7 linked regions of the Macaca mulatta genome follow. The protein of the gene in region 5 interacts with the protein of the main gene of each other region in a pairwise test. Links are inferred from orthologs where the notes say so. Each region holds a gene or a part of one and is shown on either strand. Other genes may lie near its edges. The genes, in order: REG1B, TAC1, KLHL12, ATXN2, BAG6, RNF126 and SPP1.

What was found.
Region 1: the proteins of BAG6 (region 5) and REG1B interact in a two-hybrid assay, tested with the Homo sapiens proteins (2 studies listed by BioGRID and IntAct). The link is inferred for Macaca mulatta from reciprocal best matches to the Homo sapiens genes BAG6 and REG1B.
Region 2: the proteins of BAG6 (region 5) and TAC1 interact in a two-hybrid assay, tested with the Homo sapiens proteins (2 studies listed by BioGRID and IntAct). The link is inferred for Macaca mulatta from reciprocal best matches to the Homo sapiens genes BAG6 and TAC1.
Region 3: the proteins of BAG6 (region 5) and KLHL12 interact in binary tests that used the Homo sapiens proteins (3 or more experiments, as listed by UniProt). The two-hybrid records come from large-scale screens. The link is inferred for Macaca mulatta from reciprocal best matches to the Homo sapiens genes BAG6 and KLHL12.
Region 4: the proteins of BAG6 (region 5) and ATXN2 interact in binary tests that used the Homo sapiens proteins (3 or more experiments, as listed by UniProt). The link is inferred for Macaca mulatta from reciprocal best matches to the Homo sapiens genes BAG6 and ATXN2.
Region 6: the proteins of BAG6 (region 5) and RNF126 interact in binary tests that used the Homo sapiens proteins (3 or more experiments, as listed by UniProt). The link is inferred for Macaca mulatta from reciprocal best matches to the Homo sapiens genes BAG6 and RNF126.
Region 7: the proteins of BAG6 (region 5) and SPP1 interact in binary tests that used the Homo sapiens proteins (3 or more experiments, as listed by UniProt). The link is inferred for Macaca mulatta from reciprocal best matches to the Homo sapiens genes BAG6 and SPP1.

The regions. Positions count from the first base shown.
Region 1 is NC_133418.1:45,548,946-45,553,206, reverse strand, and holds REG1B (lithostathine-1-beta precursor), read right to left. Parts: upstream 2,801-4,261; 5' UTR 2,748-2,800; coding exon 2,684-2,747; intron 2,082-2,683; coding exon 1,963-2,081; intron 1,656-1,962; coding exon 1,518-1,655; intron 725-1,517; coding exon 613-724; intron 405-612; coding exon 337-404; 3' UTR 147-336; downstream 1-146. UniProt on the Homo sapiens protein: Might act as an inhibitor of spontaneous calcium carbonate precipitation. May be associated with neuronal sprouting in brain, and with brain and pancreas regeneration.
Region 2 is NC_133408.1:121,646,605-121,650,875, forward strand, and holds the start of TAC1 (protachykinin-1 precursor), read right to left. Parts: upstream 2,801-4,271; 5' UTR 2,575-2,800; intron 2,167-2,574; 5' UTR 2,158-2,166; coding exon 2,035-2,157; intron 1,054-2,034; coding exon 957-1,053; intron 536-956; coding exon 491-535; intron 1-490. UniProt on the Homo sapiens protein: Tachykinins are active peptides which excite neurons, evoke behavioral responses, are potent vasodilators and secretagogues, and contract (directly or indirectly) many smooth muscles.
Region 3 is NC_133406.1:60,591,088-60,595,064, forward strand, and holds the start of KLHL12 (kelch-like protein 12), read right to left. Parts: upstream 2,801-3,977; 5' UTR 2,696-2,800; exon of another isoform or gene 2,668-2,695; intron 839-2,667; exon of another isoform or gene 802-838; coding exon of another isoform or gene 757-801; coding exon 562-756; intron 1-561. UniProt on the Homo sapiens protein: Substrate-specific adapter of a BCR (BTB-CUL3-RBX1) E3 ubiquitin ligase complex that acts as a negative regulator of Wnt signaling pathway and ER-Golgi transport.
Region 4 is NC_133416.1:118,688,554-118,692,053, forward strand, and holds part of ATXN2 (ataxin-2), read right to left. Parts: intron 2,399-3,500; coding exon 2,094-2,398; intron 132-2,093; coding exon 68-131; intron 1-67. UniProt on the Homo sapiens protein: Involved in EGFR trafficking, acting as negative regulator of endocytic EGFR internalization at the plasma membrane.
Region 5 is NC_133409.1:150,681,240-150,683,538, forward strand, and holds part of BAG6 (large proline-rich protein BAG6), read left to right. Parts: intron 1-101; coding exon 102-393; intron 394-559; coding exon 560-729; intron 730-912; coding exon 913-966; intron 967-1,072; coding exon 1,073-1,175; intron 1,176-1,266; coding exon 1,267-1,391; intron 1,392-1,556; coding exon 1,557-1,703; intron 1,704-2,103; coding exon 2,104-2,163; intron 2,164-2,299. UniProt on the Homo sapiens protein: ATP-independent molecular chaperone preventing the aggregation of misfolded and hydrophobic patches-containing proteins.
Region 6 is NC_133424.1:1,305,434-1,308,152, reverse strand, and holds part of RNF126 (E3 ubiquitin-protein ligase RNF126), read left to right. Parts: intron 1-463; coding exon 464-527; intron 528-968; coding exon 969-1,213; intron 1,214-2,719. UniProt on the Homo sapiens protein: E3 ubiquitin-protein ligase that mediates ubiquitination oF target proteins. Depending on the associated E2 ligase, mediates 'Lys-27'-, 'Lys-29'-, 'Lys-48'- and/or 'Lys-63'-linked polyubiquitination of substrates.
Region 7 is NC_133410.1:97,302,919-97,305,357, reverse strand, and holds part of SPP1 (osteopontin precursor), read right to left. Parts: intron 1,110-2,439; coding exon 1,029-1,109; intron 763-1,028; coding exon 721-762; intron 241-720; exon of another isoform or gene 1-240. UniProt on the Homo sapiens protein: Major non-collagenous bone protein that binds tightly to hydroxyapatite. Appears to form an integral part of the mineralized matrix. Probably important to cell-matrix interaction.

The sequences.
Region 1 (4,261 bases), on a different chromosome or scaffold from region 5:
CATGTTCATAAGCCCGACATACATAAAATGTGAGTGGGGTTTTAACAAGCGGATGGGCCGGGGCAAGCTCTGGAGTGTGACAATCATTCCCACCCCAACCACCCAAGCATGGGCTGTAGAAAGAGCAAATGCAGAAGACAGAACAATGGAGAAAAATATGTTTGTTTTTATTTTTCAGGGCTCTACAGACTGGGATGGGTAAAGGTACTGAAGATCAGCAATGCAAACTCATTAGGAAGGAGATGGTCTGAATGGAGTTGGAGAAATAGTCTAGTTTAATTTTTGACTTTGTAGTAATTGCAGGAGTGGTTCTAGACATCCATTTTTCAGCTGCCTCTAGTTTTTGAACTTGCAAACAAAGGAGAACTTCTTCTCACAAGATTCATCCTTCCATTTCTTGAATCCTATAGAATAATGAGAAGAGTCAGACAGAGAGGATCAGAAGGAGGGTAGCCCCTCCTCGATCTAGGACTCAGAACAAAAAACAAGAGGAAATATTCCTTTATTTTCCAGATAAAGAGCTCACCTTTCCTCTATCCCAGTTCCCATGTTCATCCCCAGAGAAAAACGGGAGGGAAATAACAACAGATGGATAGATTGTCTGCCTCTCACCTGAGCATGAAGTCAGGCTTGCACAGTAGCCAGCATTAGCACTGCTTGGGGCTCCAATGTCCCAGGATTTGTAGGAGACCAGGGACCCACTGCTCCAGTGCCAGCGGCGGTTCTAGGTGGAGAAGGGTCAGAACAGGGGCCATGGTCACTCAAAAATCAATAGAATAACCAGGCCTGTGTGCACACTCAGAAACAGGCCAAGATATAGCAGAAAGAATAATCATTGTTGTCACCATGAATGTCGTATTATTTCCTCTGCTTTTGCTCCTTCTCTGGAATGTCCAAATTCCTCCTCCTCTTCCAGCAAATAGTAAGTGTTCAGAGTTTGATACAGAGACCCATAAAAGCCCATTACAGAGAGTGGTTCTGATCTTTTTTCCTGAAGCTCAGAACTCTCATATACAACATAACATTGGCTGTAGAGTAGTTGTTGATATATTGTTTAGTTTAACACTTATAGTGTTAAACTAAACACTTACAGTGTTAAACTAAATAATATATCAACAACTACTGTACAGTTTTATACATTTGTATAAAATGTATAACAAATGCCAGCAGTAGATTTCTCCTCCACTACTCTTTTCCTATACAGTCTACAGAGGGACCTCTTCCAAGACAGACAATAGCAAAATAGGGAAGAAGTTGTACATAAAGATGCATTTCCAAAAGTTGACACAATGAGTGTGTGCATGAATTCCCAGGAGCCCAGAAAATTCAGCCTTCAGCTCATGTCTCTAACTACCTACACTGAACTTCACAACTCATACATTATAGGATCTATAAAGAGGTTTCTTTTGTTTAGAAAAACAAAAAGATAAAAGTTGGCGCTCGAGGTGCCAGACCTTAAACATCCCTCTTACCTCTCAAAAATGTTTATAAGGAGATAGAGGAGGCTGCAGACTGACCTTTTTGGGGTCATGGAGGCCAATCCAGACATTGCTGTCATCAGTGCTACTCTCCTTAATCAGTGAGGCCACGAAGGCACCCTCTGCCTCGGTGAGCACAGATACCAGGTTGCCTGAATTCATGTTCTGGCAGTAGAGCTGTAGGTGAAGAAAATGGAGCACTCAGTGGAGGAGGAAGGTGTGAAGGATCTACTGAGATCTTCCAGAGGATGTAACAGAAAAAGGACAGCACAGAAATGTCCCTGGTGACGCTGTCACTGACCACCAGTATCTCTGTGCTAGGAATGTGTTAAATAATGGGATAAAGTAGATTGGGAAGTTTTGGACCAGTGGTGGAATAGGGAAGGGATCAATCTTATCTCATTGCAGCCACAGAACACACTGCAAATTAGCAGCTGCCACTACCTTCATGAGCCTCCCTTCCCCTGCTGCTGTCCTCACTCACATCTGCATCAACCCAGGTCTCAGGGTCTTCATTAAAGTAGTAGCAGTAGGAGCGATAGGCATTGGTGCCTTCTGGGCAGCTGATTCGGGCATTAGGCAGCTCTGTCTGGGTCTCCTGGCCTGAGGGAAAAAAAGAGGTAATTAAGAAAGACTCTCAGGGCAAGGAAAAGGCTGGAAGGTGAATTAGGGGCTTTTCAGTTTCCGTTATAAGAACATACTGATACAGTGTGTACTGGAGTGACTCCTTACTTCTGCTCCCTGCATCCTATCTCTTTTTTTTTTTTCTAGTTTCCTCTGCTCAAGACAAGAGCTTGTAATGAATAGGCTAAAGAAATGTGTCCTCGTTTTCCCTTTTATTTCTGAGGCTCAGGCTTCTGCCTTTAAAGACCCAGTCTTCCACCTTTCTCAAGTTTCTCTTGATTTCCCTGTACATGTTTGCCTTAGCTCTCCATCCTATTAATGACTACATAAAAACATCCAACTGCCATCACATATAGATTCAATTAGATAAACTCAACCACAATGGTCACCTATAAGTGGTCTTATTAAATTCTGTCTCAAACTCATGAATGAAATGAGGATGTTTTTGAATGGGATGAGATCAGCCATAATGATCAACCTCTGATGTTGACTCTGCTTTTTTTCAAGTGAACCCTATGCATGAGGATGGAGGGAAGACTTCAGAGCTGGGGTTGTGGGAGGTCTGGGGGAAAAAATCTCACCTTGGCTCAGAGACAGGAACATCAGGCAGGAGATCAGCATGAAGCATGAGTTGGTCTGAGCCATGCTGAGCAGCAGTGAATCTCTTGCTTAAGGAGCAAATCAGCAATCTCTGTAGGAGAACACAGGGAAGAGGGTTTGAAGAAGAGAGCAGAGCCCCTATTATCTTTCTAACATCCTCTCCTCTTGGAATTCCTGTGACCAGGAAGGTCCACTGAGATAGCTACACTCGCAGATATTTCTCTTTTGGTTTGGGGATAACAGAGGCCAAATTACCCAAAATCAGCTTTGGTTTTGCTTAAGCTTCATTACTACCGGGATCTTTTATTCAGAAAATCACCCTGTATCTACCTCAAAATGAAGAGAAAATCCCATGTTAGACATGCTCTTCTCCTGTAATGCCCCCTTACCTGTTGGTAAGTGCCTTGTCCACTTGAGGTGGCTTGTCAGGTCAGACAGAGTAGGAGCTTTATATCAGGGTCTGAGAGAAAACCACATGATATAAACAGTGGGTGGAGCAAGGAGTAAGGGTCAGAAGGCCTACAAAGGGCACTAACAGTAAGAGATTCTGGCATCAGGAATAGCTTATTACTGGCACACATTAGGAGTGGTCACAAATGATATCAACTTACCATAAACAGGTTAGTAAACTGTCCAAGTTGATGTTGGGCTTTGTCCTTCCCCCACAGCATCCACGTGTCCAGTTCCCATGGCCTTTAGCCATCCTAGAAAGAGCAGAAGGGTAGATTTCTTTGTGCTATGTAAATATGGGATGATCCTTTCTTTGGTTTAGATGTGGGTAGGGGTAGGGGAAGAGTCAATTGAGTGCAAATGATTAAGCCCAATTAGCTGGTGGCTTTAAGTCATTTCTCCATTCCCTTTCAGGCTCAGGAAGCTCTCAAACCTACTTCAGAAGGCAAAGTGTATTAGTCCATTTTCACACTGCTATACTGCCAGAGACTGGGTAACTTAAAAAGGAAAGAGGTTTAATTGACTCACTGTTTAATTGACTCACAGACTTTCCTGAGGCTGAGGAGACCTCAGGAAACTTACAGTCATAGAGACGAAGGGGAAGTAAAGCATGTCTTACATGGTGGCAGGTGAGCAAGAGAGAGTGAAGAGGGAAGAACCCTTTATAAAACCATCAGATCTTGTGAGAATGGACTCACTATTGTGAGAACAGCATGGGGGAAACTACTCCTGTGATCCAATTGCCTCCCACTAGGTTCCTCCATCCACGCATGGGGATTATGAGGATTACAATTTGAGATGAGATTTGGGTGGGGACACAGAGCCACACCATATCACAAGGTTTAGTAGTTATGTAAATTTAAACCAGCATTTCCAGCAAGGTTTGAGTATAAGTAGCTAGCAGGCTACAGATGTTCTCAAAGTCCAAGCAGGTGGGAACTACAGGGAGGTGATGCCTAAGTAAGCTCAAAGTAGTGGAATATGAAGTTGTTGGTTTGAAGTCAATCATCTGTTGTTGTGAAGTTACAGATAGTGATGGAAATTAAACACTTACTGAAATTCCCATTAAAAATCCATTCAGATTCAGGGAGCAACAGCAAATCTGGAAT
Region 2 (4,271 bases), on a different chromosome or scaffold from region 5:
ACACATATACATTTGTTTTTAAAGATGCTACATTATATCTTTTATAAAATAATTTGATTATCAAAATATGTAACATTTTCTATCTATATATTATCCTGAGGAATAAGGCAGAACCATAAATGCTAAACAACTTATTAATAATAAAAACTAAATATTTAAACAAACAAATGGAATTTTTATTAAGTGCCTTCTATGGGATTCAAACCTAGGACTATGAGACTTTTGAGACCTCTTATTGACTATAAGACTGTAGTATTTCCCACCTTCAAGACTGGCCACCCATTGAGAGAGAGAGAGAAAGAGAGAGAGAGTGACAGCGAGAGAGTGACAGCAAGGGAGTGACAGAGAGATCGAGAGAGAGTATGCAAATACATCTCTTTATTAAACAGGCATCATCTAGATCTTGTATTTCAGCCCATAAAAGATTTTATTTCACTTTCCTACATGTGCTTTACAAAATAGTAAAATAAAGATTTATAGGAATCTTTACCATAAAGAGCCTTTAACAGGGCCACTTGTTTTTCAATTGAGGAATCTGACAAGAGACGAATTGTCATTACATGTTCCACTGACGGTGCGATAAATTCAAGGAAACAATATTTCTATCCCAAGACAAATCTACTCTCATGTCAGGGAATGCTACAAAATCCTGTTCCACATGCACTTGAATCAACCGCAGTACTACCCCTGGAGGCCCGTGTCTTCCCTTTGTCAGTTTGGATCTTTAGTCAAGGGAGCGCTTCACTCGAACACAGTGAGGCATGCGAACCAGATCTTTCCCTCCCCCTGCGGGCCCGTGCGCGCCTTAGTGCGGTGTGGGCCAATGTCGCGCCTGGGTTACACCCCTGTTGGAGTGGAAATCTTTATTCAGAGCGAGAGACCCTGGGGTACTCCGAGAAGGAGAGAGCAGACAGGACGGGCTGCCCAAGACACCTAGGGACGGTCGCCCATCTCACCAGCATCCCGTTTGCCCATTAATCCAAAGAACTGCTGAGGCTTGGGTCTCCGGGCGATTCTCTGCAGAAGATGCTCAAAGGGCTCAGGCAGTTCCTCCTGGGGGGCAAAAGCACGGACAAAGGGCGTGTAAGGCAACCGGAGCGAGGCACCCAGCAACCCGAGCCCTTCCCGCTGTACTCCGGCCCCGAGGCGGGCGGAGGCAGCCTTCCCCACGCTCGGGCTGAGCGGGGTACCTCCCGAGGCGCTCCCTCTCTGCGCCCCTCCTCGCCGAACCCGCGTCCCGTCCCCCGCAAGCCTGCCAGGGCGAGTTAGCAGCTGGCTCGGCGTCTTCAAGCCTCGAGCGCTTTCCGTTCTTTCCTCCCAGCCCGGGGACCTTCCCTCATCTGCCGCGCCGCCACCTGACTTTGTCTTGTCTCGGTGTCGGCTTTGTAGACTCCTCACCACCCTAAATGCACACAGGTGTGTGTGATCTGGGGCTGGGGCTGCGGTGGGAAAGGGTGACAACGTTTTATAGACGACTTTCACCCTTTTCCCGAGGCGCGCTCCCCAGCGCCAGTAGCCTACGAGTTTCTAAAGGGAAACTTCAAGCTACATCCTCAGGTCCGCAAAACAAACGTGAAGGCAGGAAATTAACTTCCCTCCAGCCTCCGGCCCTCCAATCCCCCTGCAGCTCACGCGTGTGCCCGCTGCTGCCCGCGACCAAGGCGCCCTCTGCCCGTGCCCAGACGCTAGGGCAGTGCAGCTGGACCGGAGCCCCCGAAATCCCCATTCCTGAGGGATGAAAGCTTACGAGATTTATGATCTTGTGGGGATCTCGGGCTCATCCGGGAGGGCATCCCTGCTGCAGGGAGTTCCTGGGCTGGACGGTGCAGCCCTCGGGAAGAAACTTGAATCGTGGGCACAAAATCCCGTGAGGAACCCGGGAAATAGCGCCCCTTTCCATCCTCCCGCACGCATCCGCTGCCTCTCGTCGTGGTCGCGGTGCCTGCCACGTTAACTAGGGTGCTGCTGCGTGGGAAGGTGACAGCTCCCGAGCCCAGGAAGAAGGGTGCGGGCTGTCCTGGGAAGGGGCCTCACCTTGATCTGGTCGCTGTCGGACCAGTCGGACCAGTAATTCAGATCGTCATTGGCTCCTATTTCTTCTGCAAACAGCTGAGTGGAGACGAGAAAAAAGACTGCCAAGGCCACGAGGATTTTCATGTTGAATTTCTGGGAAGGGGTAGTGGGAGAAGAGACCAAAGAGAGAAATAATATATCTATTAGGGGTGGTTATCCAAGAGTTAGAGCAACAGAATTTTCTGCCCCACAACGGATGAACTAAGATCAAAAATACAAGGACTAAAGTCTCACCTGCACCCGTTAGGCGAGAGAATCGCGTCCCAAAGATTCTCCAACCCTCTTCTCCCTGAATCCCAACTCCCTCAGCCCTCTAACCCACCAACCCACACCTTCAAACCAGGAAACTCTGCAGGTGGAAGACAAAGAGGGGCGTTGGCGTTTGGGAAGCCAGTCTCCCCACTGTCCCTCGCCGCAGCGGCGCGCCCAGCGCGGCCACCTCGGACAGATGCGGGGTGGAGTGACCCGGGCAGCCGCGGCCGGCACTGCGCGGGTACTTACTGCGACTGACAGTCCCGCGGGGTGCTGGGTTCCTCTGGTTCCTCCGAGTGCACGCTGGTCGCTCCGCACTCTCGGTGGCTGCGGGAAGGAGGAGGTCCGAGCGCGCTCTTTCGCCTGCTGAGTGCCTTGCGGTATTTATCCCAGCCTCCTCGAGCCTCCAAACCCACGTGACATTCTCCCCACGCGACTTTCTGCTCAATATTTAATTAGCCGCCTCCTCTCCTTTCGCTTGCGTGATTGAGAGTTTCCGAGACGGTAACTCGTCGATGCCCATAACATCTGGACCCAATTGGGTTCTAAATGACGCAATTTTAGGAAAATCGAGGTCTCGCCATCCAATCGGGAGCGGCCTGCTTCCGTCTGCAGATCTGACGCCCCCTCCCCTCTCCTTTGAAACTGGGTTTCATGACACCTGAGATTACTCATCAAATTTGAGCAAAGTGACTCATTCCTTGGACTTCGGTAACTTTTTCGTCCCTTGAGACGTCAGGATAAGTTGCACTTTTGAGGATGGCCAAGTAACTGTAGGCATTCAGACATTTCATCGGAAATCAGGCTAAGAAAGGAGGACTTCAGTTGAGGGGAGATGCAGGGAGGCATTCTTTTCCCCTCTATTTCTAGCTTAAGAGTATTTAAGTGTTTCTGAGACACAGCATCTTTCTATGACCAGAACATCCCTCTCCTAAATCAATGAGAATACTGGCATTTCCTTAGCATTACAAAAGGTTGTTTAGTCCCATAGTATTTTAGAAGATGGAAGCACATTTATTTTACATTTTGGAGAAAGGGGAATTTAAACATGACATTGTGTGTCAGACTTAGGATTTCTTTTGTTTCAAGCTGGGTAACTCCTCTTCCTTGTCACATCCAGGAGCAGGGGTTGAAACAGGACTTTTTTTGCTTCTCTCCTACACTTTCTTGCTGAAGACTAGGAAACCAGCAACATAATGTATAGGATCCTCACCCTTGTCACTAAAGGGCTCTATAAATCATGTTTCTCCTTTCTATGAAAATAAGTGTAGTGAAGATGCTAATGGGACAGTCATTAACGCACAAAATATTAGACAAATAGCATTTGTACACAAACCACAGCTTTCCATGAGCCCTTGGTTGCCTGGCAGACACATTTCTTTGATCTCTAAATGAATGCGGCATCTTTGGTGGAGTAGTTTTCTTCCCTTTACATATAAAGTGTTACATTTTTCAGTTAATTATGATTTGTTAGTATATTGTATAAAAGAAACACATTTTTGCAACTTAAACCAGAAATTTTTTCCTCTATGTTGTTCTTAAATAACCCTGGATTTGGAAATTCTCATGCATTTCTGATTTCTTTTGACCTTAGCCTCACAATGTGAGCATTTTATTTTCTGTTTTCAGAACTTTTATATGGAAAATTATCAGCATCTCCAAAAGTAGAGAGGTACATCCACTTCCAGGTTTCATCTACAACCCTTCCAGTTTCCTCTGCACTCAAATTATTTTGAAAAAAAATCCCAGACATTTAGTCATTTCAACTGTAAATATTTCAGCATCACTGTATAAAAGGTAAGCATTTAAAAAAATAAAAACATAACCATACCATTTTCCCACCTAAAACAACATAAAATAATTCCTTACCTTAAATATCCAGTTAGCATTCAAATATTTCTCATTGCCTCCTAATTCCTCCCCACGCAGTTTACTAGTTGAAATCA
Region 3 (3,977 bases), on a different chromosome or scaffold from region 5:
CTCCTCATCCCTCTGGTACTCACTTAAAAATTTTTAGACTTTAGAAGGAGAAAAGGCCAGGTGCAGTGGCTCACACCTGTAATGCCAGATGTGGCCACTCTGGGAGGCCAAGGTGGGAGGATTGCTTGAGCCCAGGAGTTCAAGACCAGCCTGGGCAACACAGTGAGACCCTGTCTCTACAAATAAATACATAAATAAATAAAATTAAAAACAAAAAAAGGAGAAAAATTGGAAAACAAATTTAAGAAATAGTAAAATCCAATAGCTGACATTTGTGTTTTACTGCATATTAAACTACTCTAAGCATTTTGTACGTTATTTCATAAAATAATCTTCACAATAACCTTAATAACCAGTTATTACATATTACTGTTATTCCTAACTTAAAGATGAGGAAACTAAAGCATAGTCATCTAAGTGGTAGATCTTATCCAGAATCTGCCAAAACATCACACTGTAAAAATTCACAATTATATCAAAGTTCTACTATTTTATTCAGTGAAATAAGACAACTAGAGTACCACGGGAGTTTCATTTGTGTGGGGCTAACTTATCACTTACCTCACTAGTGAACATGGCACAGAAGTAATCACTACAGGCAGCCAGCACAATCCGATGGGCAGGGAAATCCTTCTGCTCTACTCTCAATGTCACATCACAGAGGGTATTGCTCTTCCTGAGGGAGTTCATTGAATTGAGGATGGATTTAGCATGAGTATTTGTCATTATGTCTTTGGGGGCCATAATGCCTCCCATAAAGCAGTGCGGAGAAAAAACAAAATGGGTCCTTGGATTCTGAAGCTACAAGAGAAAAAAAACAATGAGCATATTCAAAGAACTAGGGAAACTGAACATATTTAATTAGTTTTACAAATTAAGAACCTAAGAGGCTTCCCTCAGACCCAAACAGACACAAGTTGAGGGCACTCCTATGCCTGGCATCACCACCACTATCTAGCCACTATCTAGTACATGTAAAAGTTCTCTCTTCTTTCTCTGAATTCCTCTACCACGGAGTGTCCCTACCACTTGACATTTATTATGATCAATGCTGAAACGTAAGTAGAGATAAACAATATATGTCCTGTAAATCTTCACAAGGTTCTTGTCTCAAATGACAAATTGAAAATATACAATTTCTTAAAGGTGTTATATCATTACTATTTAATATCCTTAAGTAGATAAGTATTTAGAGGCTGAGGATCCTGCTTTATATGTATGCTTTCTATCCTAGAAGTTGCACAATGAATGTTTACAATTTAATGTAAGAATAAGTGTGTATTCAACTTCAACTTAGAGAGAGAAAGGCCAGTCAGTAAAAATAAACTTTTTTCTAAAGAAGTAGCCAAATAATTATGTCTGATGACTTTCAGCTATATCTGGATTTCTTCTTAAAATGAAACTTCAGGCCAGGCCCAGTAGCTCACGCCTGTAATCCCAGCACTTTAGGAGGCTGAAATGGGTGGATCAGTTGAGGTCAGGAGTTTGACACCAGCCTGGCCAACATGGTGAAACCTAGCCTCCACTAAAAATACAAAAAATAGCCAGGTGTGGTGACGCGCGCCTGTAATCCTAGCTACCAAGGAGGCTGAGGCACGAGAATCGCTTGAACCCAGGAGGTGGAGGTTGAATTGAGATGAGATCACACCACCGCACTCCAGCCTGGCAATAGGGCGAGACTCTGTCTCAAAAAAAAAAAAAAAAAAAGAAAGAAAGAAACTTCAATTGACCTATTACCCTAACTGAATAGTGGAAACCACGCAAGTTACCGATGGACTTACACTTGCTTAAGATATTGAAGCTCCTCAACAAGAGGGTATTCCTACTCTATATCTGTAAATGTCCATTACTGGTTAACGAATCAATATTGGAATCCAAAACTTTCTGAAACGATCCGGCGGGGCGGGGGTAGGGGGACGGCAGGAAATAAAACTGTGGTCTCCAGAAGTTCGCAACTCACAAGTAATTTTTCAACAGGAAAAATGAGATCCTAAATTCTCATCTACTTCTGTTTATAGTTGGCATTTTACTCTATAAGCACTATAGATAATCCCTCCAACAACTGCATGACCCATTTTGCAGAAAAGGGGGTGATTCATCAAAGCATATGTTTTTCAAAAAGACTTAAGTCAACTTAGTTTCAACTCTAGGGGTGCAAAAAGAGTCTGGAACAAACGTCCATTTACAGTGAAGACAGCCTGGGGGGTGTTTTATCGTTTCCGTGCCAAAATGACAGTACCCCTAGTGCAGAGTGGCCTTCCTTCTAGGGGATTCCTGCCTCAACACTCCAAGTCTCAGCATATCCTTCACCCTCACCCTTCTGAAGTGACCTATTTTCTAGAACTTCCGTTAACATCTGAATAGAGGGATTCCACTTCGGGAGATTCGGGGCAGGAATGGGGTAGTAAATTCCGGAAAGACTACATTCTAGAGAAGGAAACGAACTCCTTCCTTCTGATACCACCAGGCATATGACCGGCGCCGCCAGATGGAGGTATCGCAGGGGGGCAATTCAGGGGAGAGTTGAGAGGGCGACTGAGGCCAGATGCCCCGCCCCCCCGCCAGCCTTCCTCCTCTCTCCGGCATGTCTCCCATTCCGCCTTACAGGGAGACCAAGGATGGGGGGTAGGGCCATAACCCGGAGTTGACGGACAGGAAGGGAAGGGCTGACTGCCATCACTTCCGCGCAACTCACCTCCGCTCCCGAGCCCACACAGCAGCGCCGGGCCCGTCCCCAGCCTGTGGGGATGGAGTGGGGCGCGGGGCCAGCAGGCGGCTCAGGAAGAGCCGAAGAGCCGCCGCCGCCGCCCCCACCCGGAGGCTCTGGAGGCTCTGGAGCCGTCCAGGTCTGGTCCCTGCGGCCGCGCGACGTGATGACGCAATGCAGCTGGAGCACCGCCCTCCTCCCGCTCGAGTCTGCGTCACGTGAAGAGGTGGTGTCACGTGACCTGCCTGTACCCTGGTGCCGGGCCTCTGCACGTTGCTAGGAAGCCGAATTAGAAAAAGGTCTGGTGGGCAGGGCATGGTGGCTCACGCCTGTAATCCCGGCACTTTGGCAGGCCGAGGCGAGCGAATTACCTGAGCTCCGGAGTTCCACACCCGCCTGGGGAACACGGCAAAACCCCGTTTCTAAAAAAAAAAAAAAAAAAAAAAAATTAGCCCGGCGTGGTGGCCCCGACTGTAGTCCCAGCTACTCGGGAGGCTGAGGCAGGAGGATCACTTGAGCTAGGCGCAGAGGTTGCAGTAAGCCAGAGTCGCCACTGCAGAGACCCTGTTGAAAAAAAAAAAAAAAAAAGTCCGGGCGTGGTGGCTCACGCCTATAATCCCTGCACTTTGGGAGGCCAAGGCGGGTGTATTACTTGAGGTCAGGAATTTGAGACCAGCCTGGCCAACATGGTGAAACCCCATCTGTACTAAAAATACAAAAAACATTAGCCGGGCGTTGTCGCACGCGTCTGTAATCCCAGCTACTCAGGAGGCTAAGGCAGGAGAATCGCTAGAACCCAGGAGGCGGAGGTTGTAGTGAGCCGAGATCGCGCCACTGCACTCAAGCCTGGGCGACCGACTGAAACGCCGTCTCCAAAAAAAAAAAAAAAAGAAAAAAACAAAAAAGGCCGGATGTTGTGGGGTCCGGCAGGGAGCCTGGGAATGTATCTACAGCTCAGCGACTGTCTGAGCCTGAGTTCCTCCCTACTGCTCACGAGGCAGGGCACACAGAGAGAATTCCAACGCTTAATATGCCAAGCATCTGATTGCAGCAAGTATGTTTTACCTTCCAGGTACTGAGAAACTTTTTGACATCGAGAAAACCCACAGAGGCCTCAAATTTTTTCACGTCCATTGTCCACAATGGCCTTTTCGTGCCGAACAACGCTGCGGCGATAATCCTCTGAGCCCTGCGACCCACAGACCTCAGTATATACTCTGCATCATAATGGTCCCTGTCATCACCGCTGAATTGATTCTAAGGAAATTCT
Region 4 (3,500 bases), on a different chromosome or scaffold from region 5:
TGGAAGAAGGACTACTAATTTTTCTTTTTAGGGGACTAAATAACCTCAAAGAAAGTAATAAACCTACCTGAGAGAAGGAACGTGGGTTGAACTCCTTTGCATTAGGATTCAATGTTGATTTCCTAACTTGCCTAAAAAAAAAAAAAAGGCCAGTGAAATCTACATGGACTTTATGTTGTTCTAAAATCTTCCATACCTGACAATTTAAAAAAAACTGCTAGGCCGGGCGCGGTGGCTCAAGCCTGTAATCCCAGCACTTTGGGAGGCCGAGACGGGCGGATCACAAGGTCAGGAGATTGAGGCCATCCTGGCTAACATGGTGAAACCCCGTCTCTACTAAAAATACAAAAAACTAGCCGAGCGTGGTGGTGGCGCCTGTAGTCCCAGCTACTCGGGAGGCTGAGGCAGGAGAATGGCGTGAACCCGGGAGCCAGAGCTTGCAGTGAGCCGAGATCGCACCACTGCACTCCAACCTGGGCGACAGGGCGAGACTCCGTCTCAAGAAAAAAAAAGAAACACTGCTAAACATAGATTTAAACTGTTCTCACTAGAAGATCACTAATCCTCTTTATTGAAACATACGCACTTATATTGCCAATTCCTTAATCCCTTAAAGAATATAGTCATAAAAGAACAATTTTTTAAAAATCTGAGTAATATACAACTGCTCCTCTCAAAGGCAATCAAAAAATACTTTATTTTCTCCTTCAGAGTCCCACTCTGTTGCTCAGGCTGGAGCGCAGCAGTGCAATCTTGGCTCACTGTAACCTCTGCCTCCCCAGTTCAAGCAATTCACCTACCTGAGTCTCCTGAGTAGCTGAGATTACAGGCGACTGCCACCACACCCAGCTAATTTTTTTTTTTTTTTTTTTTTTTTTCCCCAGTAGAGATGGGGTTTCACCATCTTGGCCAGGCTGACCTTAAGTGATCTGCCTGAGTCAGCCTCCCAAAGTGCTGGGATTACAGGCGTGAGCCACCACGCCTGGCCAATCAACAAACACTTGAGCTGAAAAGACAGTAGCTACTTATAAAATATCCTTAAAAGCACTTCTTAACATACCAGTATTCTTTTATTATTATTACTTTTTGAGACAGAGTCTCGCTCTGTCACCCAGGCTGGAGTGCAGTGGCATGATCTCGGCTCACTGCAGCCTCCACCTTCCGGGTTCAAGCAATTCTCCTGCCTCAGCCTCCTGAGTAGCTGGGATTATAGGCACCTACCACCATGACTGGCTAATTTTTGTATTTTTAGTAGAGACAGGGTTTCACCATGTTGGCCAGGCTGGTCTTCAACTCCTAACCTCAAGTAATCTACCTGCTTCGGCCTCCCAGAGTGCTGGGATTATAGGTGTGAGCCACCAGTCAACATACCAATATTCTAGCATGAAGTAATTTTTATGTGAGAAGATATTATCTACATAACATACCTGCAGAAAATCATGGCTCTAAAAAAAATTTGCCTCAAATCAAGAATAAGCAGTCCCCAATTTATCAATAAGCTACATTCCAAAACTTTAGCTTTAACTGGATTGTTTGGTACCCAGAACACCTAAGTCAATGGTAGTTAAGTTCTGAGGTTAGCCCCTGAAAGTCCATTTAACAAATATATGGAATGTGCAGAATTAAGTCTATTTTAACAAATCTAAACATTAACTAAAACACTGTTTCTGATGAAAAATATTTTGAATTCCAAGTAGAAGCATCGCATGCTTCTCTCCTTGACAGTGGCAGTTTTTCATCCTAGCAGCACAGTGAGGGTGACTAATGAGTGGAATCCAGTAAAGATAGGTCTCCTGAACTGATAATTTTTCAACTCCTGTTCATTTACAGAAAAACTTTTCTTAATTTATGCCTTGTTTTTCTAGCCCTGGGGTGCAAAAAAGGGGAAGAACAAGAGTAGCACAGGGTGCAATAACCTAATTTACTTAAGATGTCATTTGTTTGGACTAGCTGTTTGTAAACTAAGGGCAATGTATGAAGCAGTCTAAAAGTCCAGATGGATTCTTCACAGTTGGAAGGACCTAAATGCCTTTAAAAAAAAAAAAAAAAAATTAACTGAGTAACAGGATGGTCTAAGTTCCAGGTTTACTCACTCAGCTGCGTCTTTCTTCTCTTCCTTATCATCTTTCTCTTGTTTACATGCTGGACTGGAAGTCTGAACCCCTTGGGAAGTGACCTCAGGTCCCCTCTTGTGCTCCGTGTTACTAAGTATTGAAGGGGAAATGCTGGGGCTATTCGGCTTGCTGCTGCCACTGGTACAGTTGCTGCTGCTATTTTCAGTGAAAGAATCCTTAGCACTTGGTTCAATTTTGTCTTTGATCAAATCTCTTGATTTTTCTGCCTCTCTATTTTTGTTTAGTAGTTGATCCATAGATTCAGAAGTAGAACTTGGCTGTAACTAAATAAAGGAAACAATTATACTTAAATATCTTAAATAACTTTAGTAATCCATTTTTGCCATGAGCACAAGCAAAGTAATATTAACTATATGCATGAAATGTTTTGAATAAGGCTTTTTTCATACTTTAAGAGTAATGCTTTTACTATAAAGTAACAATAACAGAATACCTATATAGCACAACCACAGTTACCAAAGCACTCAAATGTCTTAGCCTCTAAAGTTCAATATTTACTGAATGCCTACCACATGTCAGAAATTGTGCTTGCTGGGTGAGAAAAATATGAAAAAATTTCTATCCTCCTATACTTGTCATCTAAATAAGATCAGACACTTCACAACAAAATGAGTAAATGCTAAGAGATTCTATAGAAAAAACAACCTATAAAAAAGAAAGGTTTCTTAATGGAAGTTTCAGCTAGTCTAAGGTGTGAAAGAAGTTTAGGAGAGGTGTTTGGGATGGAGAATAGTCTAAGTAAAAGGAGGAATATGTTTAAAAATCCAAAGAAAAGAGAGAAGATGGCTCTATCACATAAAAGAATAGCACCAATGGGGGCTGGGCGCAGTGGCTCATGCCTGTAATCCCAGCACTTTGGGAGGCTGAGGCAGGCAGATCACGAGGTCAGGAGATCGAGACCATCCTGGCTAACACGGTGAAACCCCGTCTCTACTAAAAATACAAAAATTAGCCGGGCATGGCGGCGGACGCCTGTAGTCCCAGCTATTCGGGAGGCTGAGGTAGGAGAATGGTGTGAGCATGGGAGGCAGAGCTTGCAGTGAGCCGAGATCACGCCACTGCACTCCAGACTGGGTGACAGAACGAGACTCCGTCTCGGAAAAAAAAAAAAAAAGTAAAAGGATAGCACCAATGACCCAGGCACAGTGGCTCATCACTGTAATTCCAGCACTTTGGGAGGCTGAGGCAAGCAGACTGCTTGAGCTCAGGAGTTCAAGACCAGCCTGAGCAACATAGTGATACCCTGTTCTCATTAAAAAATAATAATGATAATAAAATAAAATAAATAACAAAAATAAAGAAGTAAAGCAAAGCACCAATGGCTGGACCAAGGGTGGGACACACATGTACAAGTGAGTCAGAAAA
Region 5 (2,299 bases):
CTTCCCAGACCCATATGTTTGTGCCCTCTTGATGCCGTATTATTTCCCTATCTGCATTCTCACCTCAACCTTCTGTTCTTTGTTCCTTTTCTATTTGCCAGGCAACACAGACAGCCCCTCCACCACCCCCACCTCCTCCACCCCCACAACCTGCCCCAGAGCAGCAGACCATGCCCCCACCAAGCTCCCCTTCTGGTGGGGCAGGGAGTCCTGGAGGCCTGGGCCTTGAGAGCCTATCACCGGAGTTTTTTACCTCAGTGGTGCAGGGTGTGCTGAGCTCCCTGCTGGGCTCCTTGGGGGCTCGGGCTGGCAGCAGTGAAAGTATTGCTGCCTTCATACAACGCCTCAGTGGATCCAGCAACATCTTTGAGCCTGGAGCTGATGGGGCCCTTGGTGAGCAAAAGGGGGTGCTTTGGCTTGCTCCAGGAAGGGGCAGCCAGAGGAAGGTAGATGGCCTTGGTTTAGGGGTGTTGCCAAGGTGGGATGAGGTTGACACCTGGTTGTGGGTGGGCAAGCCAGGTGGTAAAGGCGATTGCTAACATCTGCCCCTGTCCTCCAGGATTCTTTGGGGCCCTGCTCTCTCTTCTGTGCCAGAACTTCTCTATGGTGGACGTAGTGATGCTTCTCCATGGGCATTTTCAGCCACTACAACGGCTGCAACCCCAGCTGCGATCCTTCTTCCACCAACACTACCTGGGTGGTCAGGAGCCCACCCCCAGTAACATCCGGGTAAATGAAGGCCAGGGGCCCCAGAGCTCTCCTCCTTTGCACATTTTATTCCTTGTTTCTGACTGCTTCTCTGCCAGGTAAAGCTCCAATTGCCCCCACACAAGCCCTGGACTTGTTGGGGTCAAGGTGGAAGTCTTGGGAGGACCGAGGCTTTGAACTAAACCTGTTCTGTTTCCTCCGCAGATGGCAACCCACACATTGATCACGGGTCTAGAAGAGTATGTGCGGGAGAGTTTTGTGAGTAACCCTTCTCTATTCCCCTCCTCTCCTGGGTCTGGTCAAGGCAGCTGCCTCCTCCGTTCCCAGTCTTACGATTCCTGTTTTTGTGTATCTTGTCTCTCAGTCCTTGGTGCAGGTTCAGCCAGGTGTGGACATCATCCGGACAAACCTGGAATTTCTCCAAGAGCAGTTTAATAGCATTGCTGCTCATGTGCTGCATTGCACAGGTCAGTGGCTGGCCAGGCTGGGGCAAGTGGGGCCTGTTGGATGTGCAGGGCTGCCATGTGCCAGCATTCCCTCATTGTGTTTTGCCCACAGATAGTGGATTTGGGGCCCGGTTGCTGGAGTTGTGTAACCAAGGCCTGTTTGAATGCCTGGCCCTGAACCTGCATTGCTTGGGGGGACAGCAGATGGAGCTTGCTGCTGTTATCAATGGCCGAATTGTAAGCACCACCTAGCCCCAGGTCCTTAGCCTTTTGTTTCCTGAGGTTTCCATTCGCTGCAGTTTTCATTTTTGTTTTCTAAACTGATGTTCTATACCCCAGATCTAATATATTAGGAAAGGTGGTTGAGGGTTTTATGTTCTAAATCTGCTTTCTGCCCCTCAGCGTCGTATGTCTCGCGGGGTGAATCCCTCCTTGGTGAGCTGGCTGACCACTATGATGGGACTGAGGCTTCAGGTGGTACTGGAGCACATGCCCGTAGGTCCTGATGCCATTCTCAGATACGTTCGCAGGGTTGGTGATCCCCCCCAGGTAAGGGACCTGTTGGGCAGTGGGGTCAGGGTACTTGAGAGAACTGGAGAGATCTGAGAGGAAATATGTTGTTGTTTTTTTTTATTGAGACAGAGTCTAGCTCTGTTGCCCAGGCTGGAGTGCAGTGGCACGATCTCGGCTCACTGCAAGCTCCACCTCCCGGGTTCACGCCATTCTCCTGCCTCAGCCTCCCGAGTAGCTGGGACTACAGGCGTCCACCACCTCGTCCGGTTAATTTTTTTTTTTTTTATTTTTAGTAGAGATGGGGTTTCATCGTGTTAGCCAGGATGGTCTCGATCTCCTGACCTCGTGATCCGCCCGCCTCGGCCTCCCAAAGTGCTGGGATTACAGGCGTGAGCCACCGTGCCCAGCCAAAATATGTTGTTCTTTAATTTCACAGCCTCTTCCTGAGGAGCCAATGGAAGTTCAGGGAGCAGAAAGAGCTTCCCCTGAGCCTCAGGTACTCGGGAGAGGGGGAGGTTGAGGGGCCAGATAATGTGGAGTGGAGGGCTGGGGGAGAAAGGTTTGGAGGTGGCCGGCGCGGTGGCTCAAGCCTGTAATCCCAGCACTTTGGGAGGCCGAGACGGGCAGATCAC
Region 6 (2,719 bases), on a different chromosome or scaffold from region 5:
GGTGGGGGCTGTGCTGGCGTCCAACCCCCCGGGTGTGTGGCTGGCAGGCCCTGGCGTCCGTGGCTCTGGGAGCCCTTTCCTCTGTGCGGGCAGCAGCGTGCCATTCCCTTCTGTGAGGGCCGGGCCGGAGGGGAGTGCTGGCGACCTGTGCAGCCGCTGACCTCCCTCAGCCTTGGCGACTGATCTGGTGACCCAGGCCCTCCGGGGAAGGGGCCACGGGGGCCCCACCCACATCCTCACGCTCAGGAGGTTGTTGGTGTCTGCACTGGTTTCCAGAGAAACCTGTGGTTTACTGGCGAGGGAAGAAGCGGCAGGTTATGGTACCAAATGCAGGGGCGGTGGCAGGTGGGAAGCAGTGCTGAGGACAGTGCCACTCTCCCAACACAGGCTTTTGAGGGGAGGGAGCGCCTGGCGCATGGGGACACGGGGCAGCCAGTGCTGCTGACACTCACTGTCTTCCCAGGAGCACAGAAAATGGTTCTGCCCCCTCCACAGCCCCCACGGACCAGAGCCGGCCACCACTGGAGGTGAGTCGCCCACCCCTCGTGCTTCCTGATCCTGTCGGCCTTGCTCAGGGCCCCGAGCACCAGCCTGTCCCCACCTTGCCTCCCTGGGCTCTCCCTGCCCGTACGGCAGAGGACATCCATCCCTCCAGGGGCCCGGGCTGGGTTTGGGGTGGCCCACGCTGCTCAGTTGGGGCTGATGAAAGTGAGACTTCGTCAAGGCGGCTCACACCAGCCAGGCAGGCTCTGCCCAATTCCCGCCTCCCTCCCACCCAGCACCCAGCAGGGCCCGTCTTGCTTTCTCTTTTGTCTTTGTGCCCTAGTGCCCCCAGCAGACTGCACCGGCCTGAGCCCCGAGGTCACGCCCCCTCCTCTCCCCTGCACCGGCCTGAGCCCTGAGGTCACGCCCCCTCCTCTCCCCTGCACCGGCCTGAGCCCCGAGGTCACGCCCCCTCCTCTCCTCAGCACGTGGATCAGCACCTGTTCACGCTGCCGCAGGGCTACGGACAGTTTGCTTTCGGCATCTTCGATGACAGCTTCGAGATCCCTACGTTCCCTCCTGGGGCTCAGGCTGATGAAGGCAGGGACCCTGAGAGCCGGCGGGAGAGAGACCATCCGTCCCGGCACCGGTATGGCGCCCGGCAGCCCCGCGCCCGCCTCACCACGCGGCGGGCCACCGGCCGGCACGAAGGCGTCCCCACGCTGGAAGGGTGAGGGGGCCCCGGGGGTGGCCGCGAGGGCCCCACGCCGTGAGGTCGGAAGTTCTGGTGCTTAGAATTCAGCAGCACGTGTTCCACGGAAGTGTGGCGTCATCCGAAGGCTCTCTGGAGAGGCCGCCCGGCCAGGTGCTCCAGCCCCGTGACCCCCACACTCTCTGAGAGCCTCGGTCTGTGACCCACTGGGAGTGGGGGCCCCACACAGCCCTTCAGAGACAGAAGTGTGCTGGTCCAGGGCGTGTGCATTGACCACAGAGCGGGGCGCAGCGCGCCTGCCAGGCCCACGTACTTTGGGGACTGCTGTTCACATGCGTATCATCAAACACCGTCCTGCCCTTGGGCCTGGACCAGAGCCTGGGCGAGCCTTCACTGGGCCCCCCTGCTGGTGGAGCAGAGCCCGGGCCTCCCCTCTCCTGGCGATTGATCCTTCTATGGTTGTGTGTCTCACCTGCTGGAAATATCATCGTTAAAAGTGGCTGATTTTGCCGCACGGTGGCTCAGCGCTGTAGTCCCAGTGCTCTGGGAGGCCGAGGAGGAAGGATCCTTGAGGACAGGAGTTTAAGATCAGCCTGAGCAACATAGGGAGGTCCCGTCTCTAATTTTAAAAAACTAGGCCAGGCGCGGTGGCTCAAGCCTGTAATCCCAGCACTTTGGGAGGCCGAGACGGGCGGATCACAAGGTCAGGAGATCGAGACCATCCTGGGTAACACGGTGAAACCCCGTCTCTACTAAAAATACAAAAAAAACTAGCCGGGCGAGGTGGCGGCGCCTGTAGTTCCAGCTACTCAGGAGGCTGAGGCAGGGGAATGGCGTGAACCCGGGAGGCGGAGCTTGCAGTGAGCTGAGATCCGGCCACTGCACTCCAGCCTGGGCAACAGAGCGAGACTCCGTCTCAAAAGAAAAAAAAAAAACTAGTCAAGGCCGGGCGTGGTGTCTCACACCTGTAAGCCCAGCACTTTGGGAGGCTGAGCAGGCAGATCACTGAGGTCAGGAGTTTGAGACCAGTCTGATCAATATGATGAAACTCCATCTCTACTAAGAATACAAAAATTAGCCGGGTGCAGTGGCGCATGCCTGTAATCTCAGCTACTCAGGAGGCTGAGACAGGAGAATCACTTGAACGCGGGAGGCAGAGGTTGTAATGAGCCAAAATTGCGCCCCTGCCCTCCAGCCTGGGCAACAAGAGCAAAACTCCATCTTAAAAAAAAAAAAAAAAAGAGCTGAGAGTGGTGGAGCTCTCCTGTGGACCCAGCTGCTTGGGAGGCTGAGGCAGGAGGATCACCTAAGCCCAGCAGGTCGGGGCTGCAGTAAGCCAAGATCGAGCCTCTGCTCTCTTGCCTGAGCATCAGAATGAGACCCTGGTTCATAGTAAAGTAAACAAATAGAAGCTAATTTAGAAGTTAATGCTGGTCCTGCCCTTGGTGCTTACCACGGACCTGGGCAGGCCTGGCGCCTCCCAGTGCGTGGGGCGGCCTCACCCCATGACTGGCCCCCTCTGTT
Region 7 (2,439 bases), on a different chromosome or scaffold from region 5:
TTACTAAATTCAATGATGTAATAGATACAGACACATAATTATGAGACTTTTTAAAATTTGAAATGAGATTTATCAAAAGAGAAGAGTATCCCTATTTTAATGTGTGTACTAAAATCTATAACCCCTTTCCTATTAGCATGAATAATTGAAAGGTGACTGTTATGCATGTGTGTATAAACTGCAGCTCAAAACTGTCCTTGAATTAAACAATTAATGTCCATTAAATTTCAGATTGACAAATATATTGGGTAATTTAACTTGATTTAATATTCTTAGTATATTCAAATTGAATCTTAAGGAAAATAAATTTACTCTTTGCTTAGCAAATATATGAATGATCCTAATAAAAAGAATAGTTGTCAAATAAACTATTTTATTAGGAAAGAGAACTTTCCTAAAGGCAAAATCTTAGCTTTGATAGGCATTAATTAGATGCTTATTAGATATTTGATATCTACAAAATACCTTAAATAAATTGCAATCAGCTTAATGTTTCAAATAACAGGCATTAATGAACATTTTCTGTAATGCTAAACATATCTGAGGAAACCTAGTATTTCTGATATTTAGTAAATACATGTTTTCTTTCTGAGCAAGTTTTAAAGACTGCCAATTTACTGGAAAATTAGCTAATGAAATTTCATCAGAAGAGAATCCAGGCAATGGCTTCTTTCGTTTCTTCAAGGTATGATGGGCCTCTGATTGAAAATGAGAACTTACCTCTTGTTTAAAGTCATTGGTTTCTTCGGAAGACACAGCATTCTGAAGAAGGAATGGCACATGTTAGTGTGCATCACACATGCCTAGCTTTTTTATTCAAAAGTTAACCTTTTTAATCCAAAGCAGTTTTTATTTTTCTGCCTCATCTGTGGATGGCTTAACACGGGAAGAAGCCAACATGGCAGATCAGTCAATGTCCTAAGCACATGCTTGCCAGCGGGCAGGCAGGATTCATCTGAGCAGCCCAAATGGCCTGCTTGTAGCTATCTTTCATCGTTGTAGTTTAATTATGAGAAGTTTAAAAATACCTGTGGGGCTAGGAGATTCTGCTTCTGAGATGGGTCAGGCTTTAACCATGTGGCCACAGCATCTGGGTATTTGTTGTAAAGCTATAAAAAAGTTGCATGTTTATCATTATTAAAAAAAGAAACGTAGGGATGAATGGAAAAAACAACCATTCTTCACCAGTCTTGATGGATAAGCATAATATGCATGCATATAGTCACTCAGACCCTTAGGTACCTTTTTGTAATTTTTTTTTTCTTGCAGATTCATTTAATACACTCTTATGTAGCACTTAGTGTGGGCTAGGCACTCTTTCAAATTGCTTTACAAATATGAACTCATTTGATCCTCTCATTCCCCTATGAGATGGGTATCATTAATATTCCCACCTTACAATCAGCCACAATGCAGTTAAGTGGTAGGAAATGACAGAGCCAGGCAGGATTCAAACGCAGGCAAACTAGCTCTTAACCCTGAACTTCACACTATGCTTTCTTTTTGTATGTTTGCTGGCTGAATTTTCCTCTCAGATAAAGCACATCTAAACCAGACGTGCCTTTAATTACTGTTGATCTTCACTGTGTCCAGTCCATGGAACAAGAAGGAACTCTCTAAGGCTGTGCTGTCTAATACAGTATACTCTAACCACATGGGGCTATTTACATTTAAGTTAATTAAAATGAAATGGCCGGGCACAGTGGCTCACGCCTGAAATCTTGGGAGGCTGAGGCAGGCAGATCATGAGGTCAGGAGATCGAGACCATCCTGGCTAACACAGTGAAACCCCCTTTCTACTAAAAATACCAAAAAAAAAAAAAAAAAAAAAATTAGCCGGGCATGGTGGCCGGCACCTGTAGTCTCAACTACTCGGGAGGCTGAGGCAGGAGAATGGCGTAAACCCAGGTGGCAGATCTTGCAGTGAGCCGAGATCGTGCCACTGCACTCCAGCCTGGGCGACAGAGCGAGACTCCATCTCAAAAGAAAAAAAAACGAAGAAATAAGATAAAAATTCAGTTCCTCAGTTGCACTAGGCTACATTTTGAGTACTCCATAGCCATATGTATCTGGCAGCTATCTTACCAGACAATGCAGAAATATAATATTAAAATCATTGCACAAAAGTTCTATAGCTCTAAGGTGCCAAAGATGTAAATGAAATGGATTTTTCTTTAGCCAAGTTATTTATCTGGAAAATACTGATAATATGCTACTGCAGAGGAGTGGAAATTGCTCTGTGTAAGTGTCATCTGATCTGCTGAATCATTCAGGGCCAATCATTACATGTCCCTGTCATTCAGAATAACTCTGGGGGTTGTACAGAGTCCCTTCTGCAGCCACCTAAGGGGTGGATGGGTAGAGAGAAAACCAGTCAGAAGTATTAGAGTTTCTCTCATGGCTGGCTCTAACCAGAGGGGCTTCATACTGGGCTTCTCT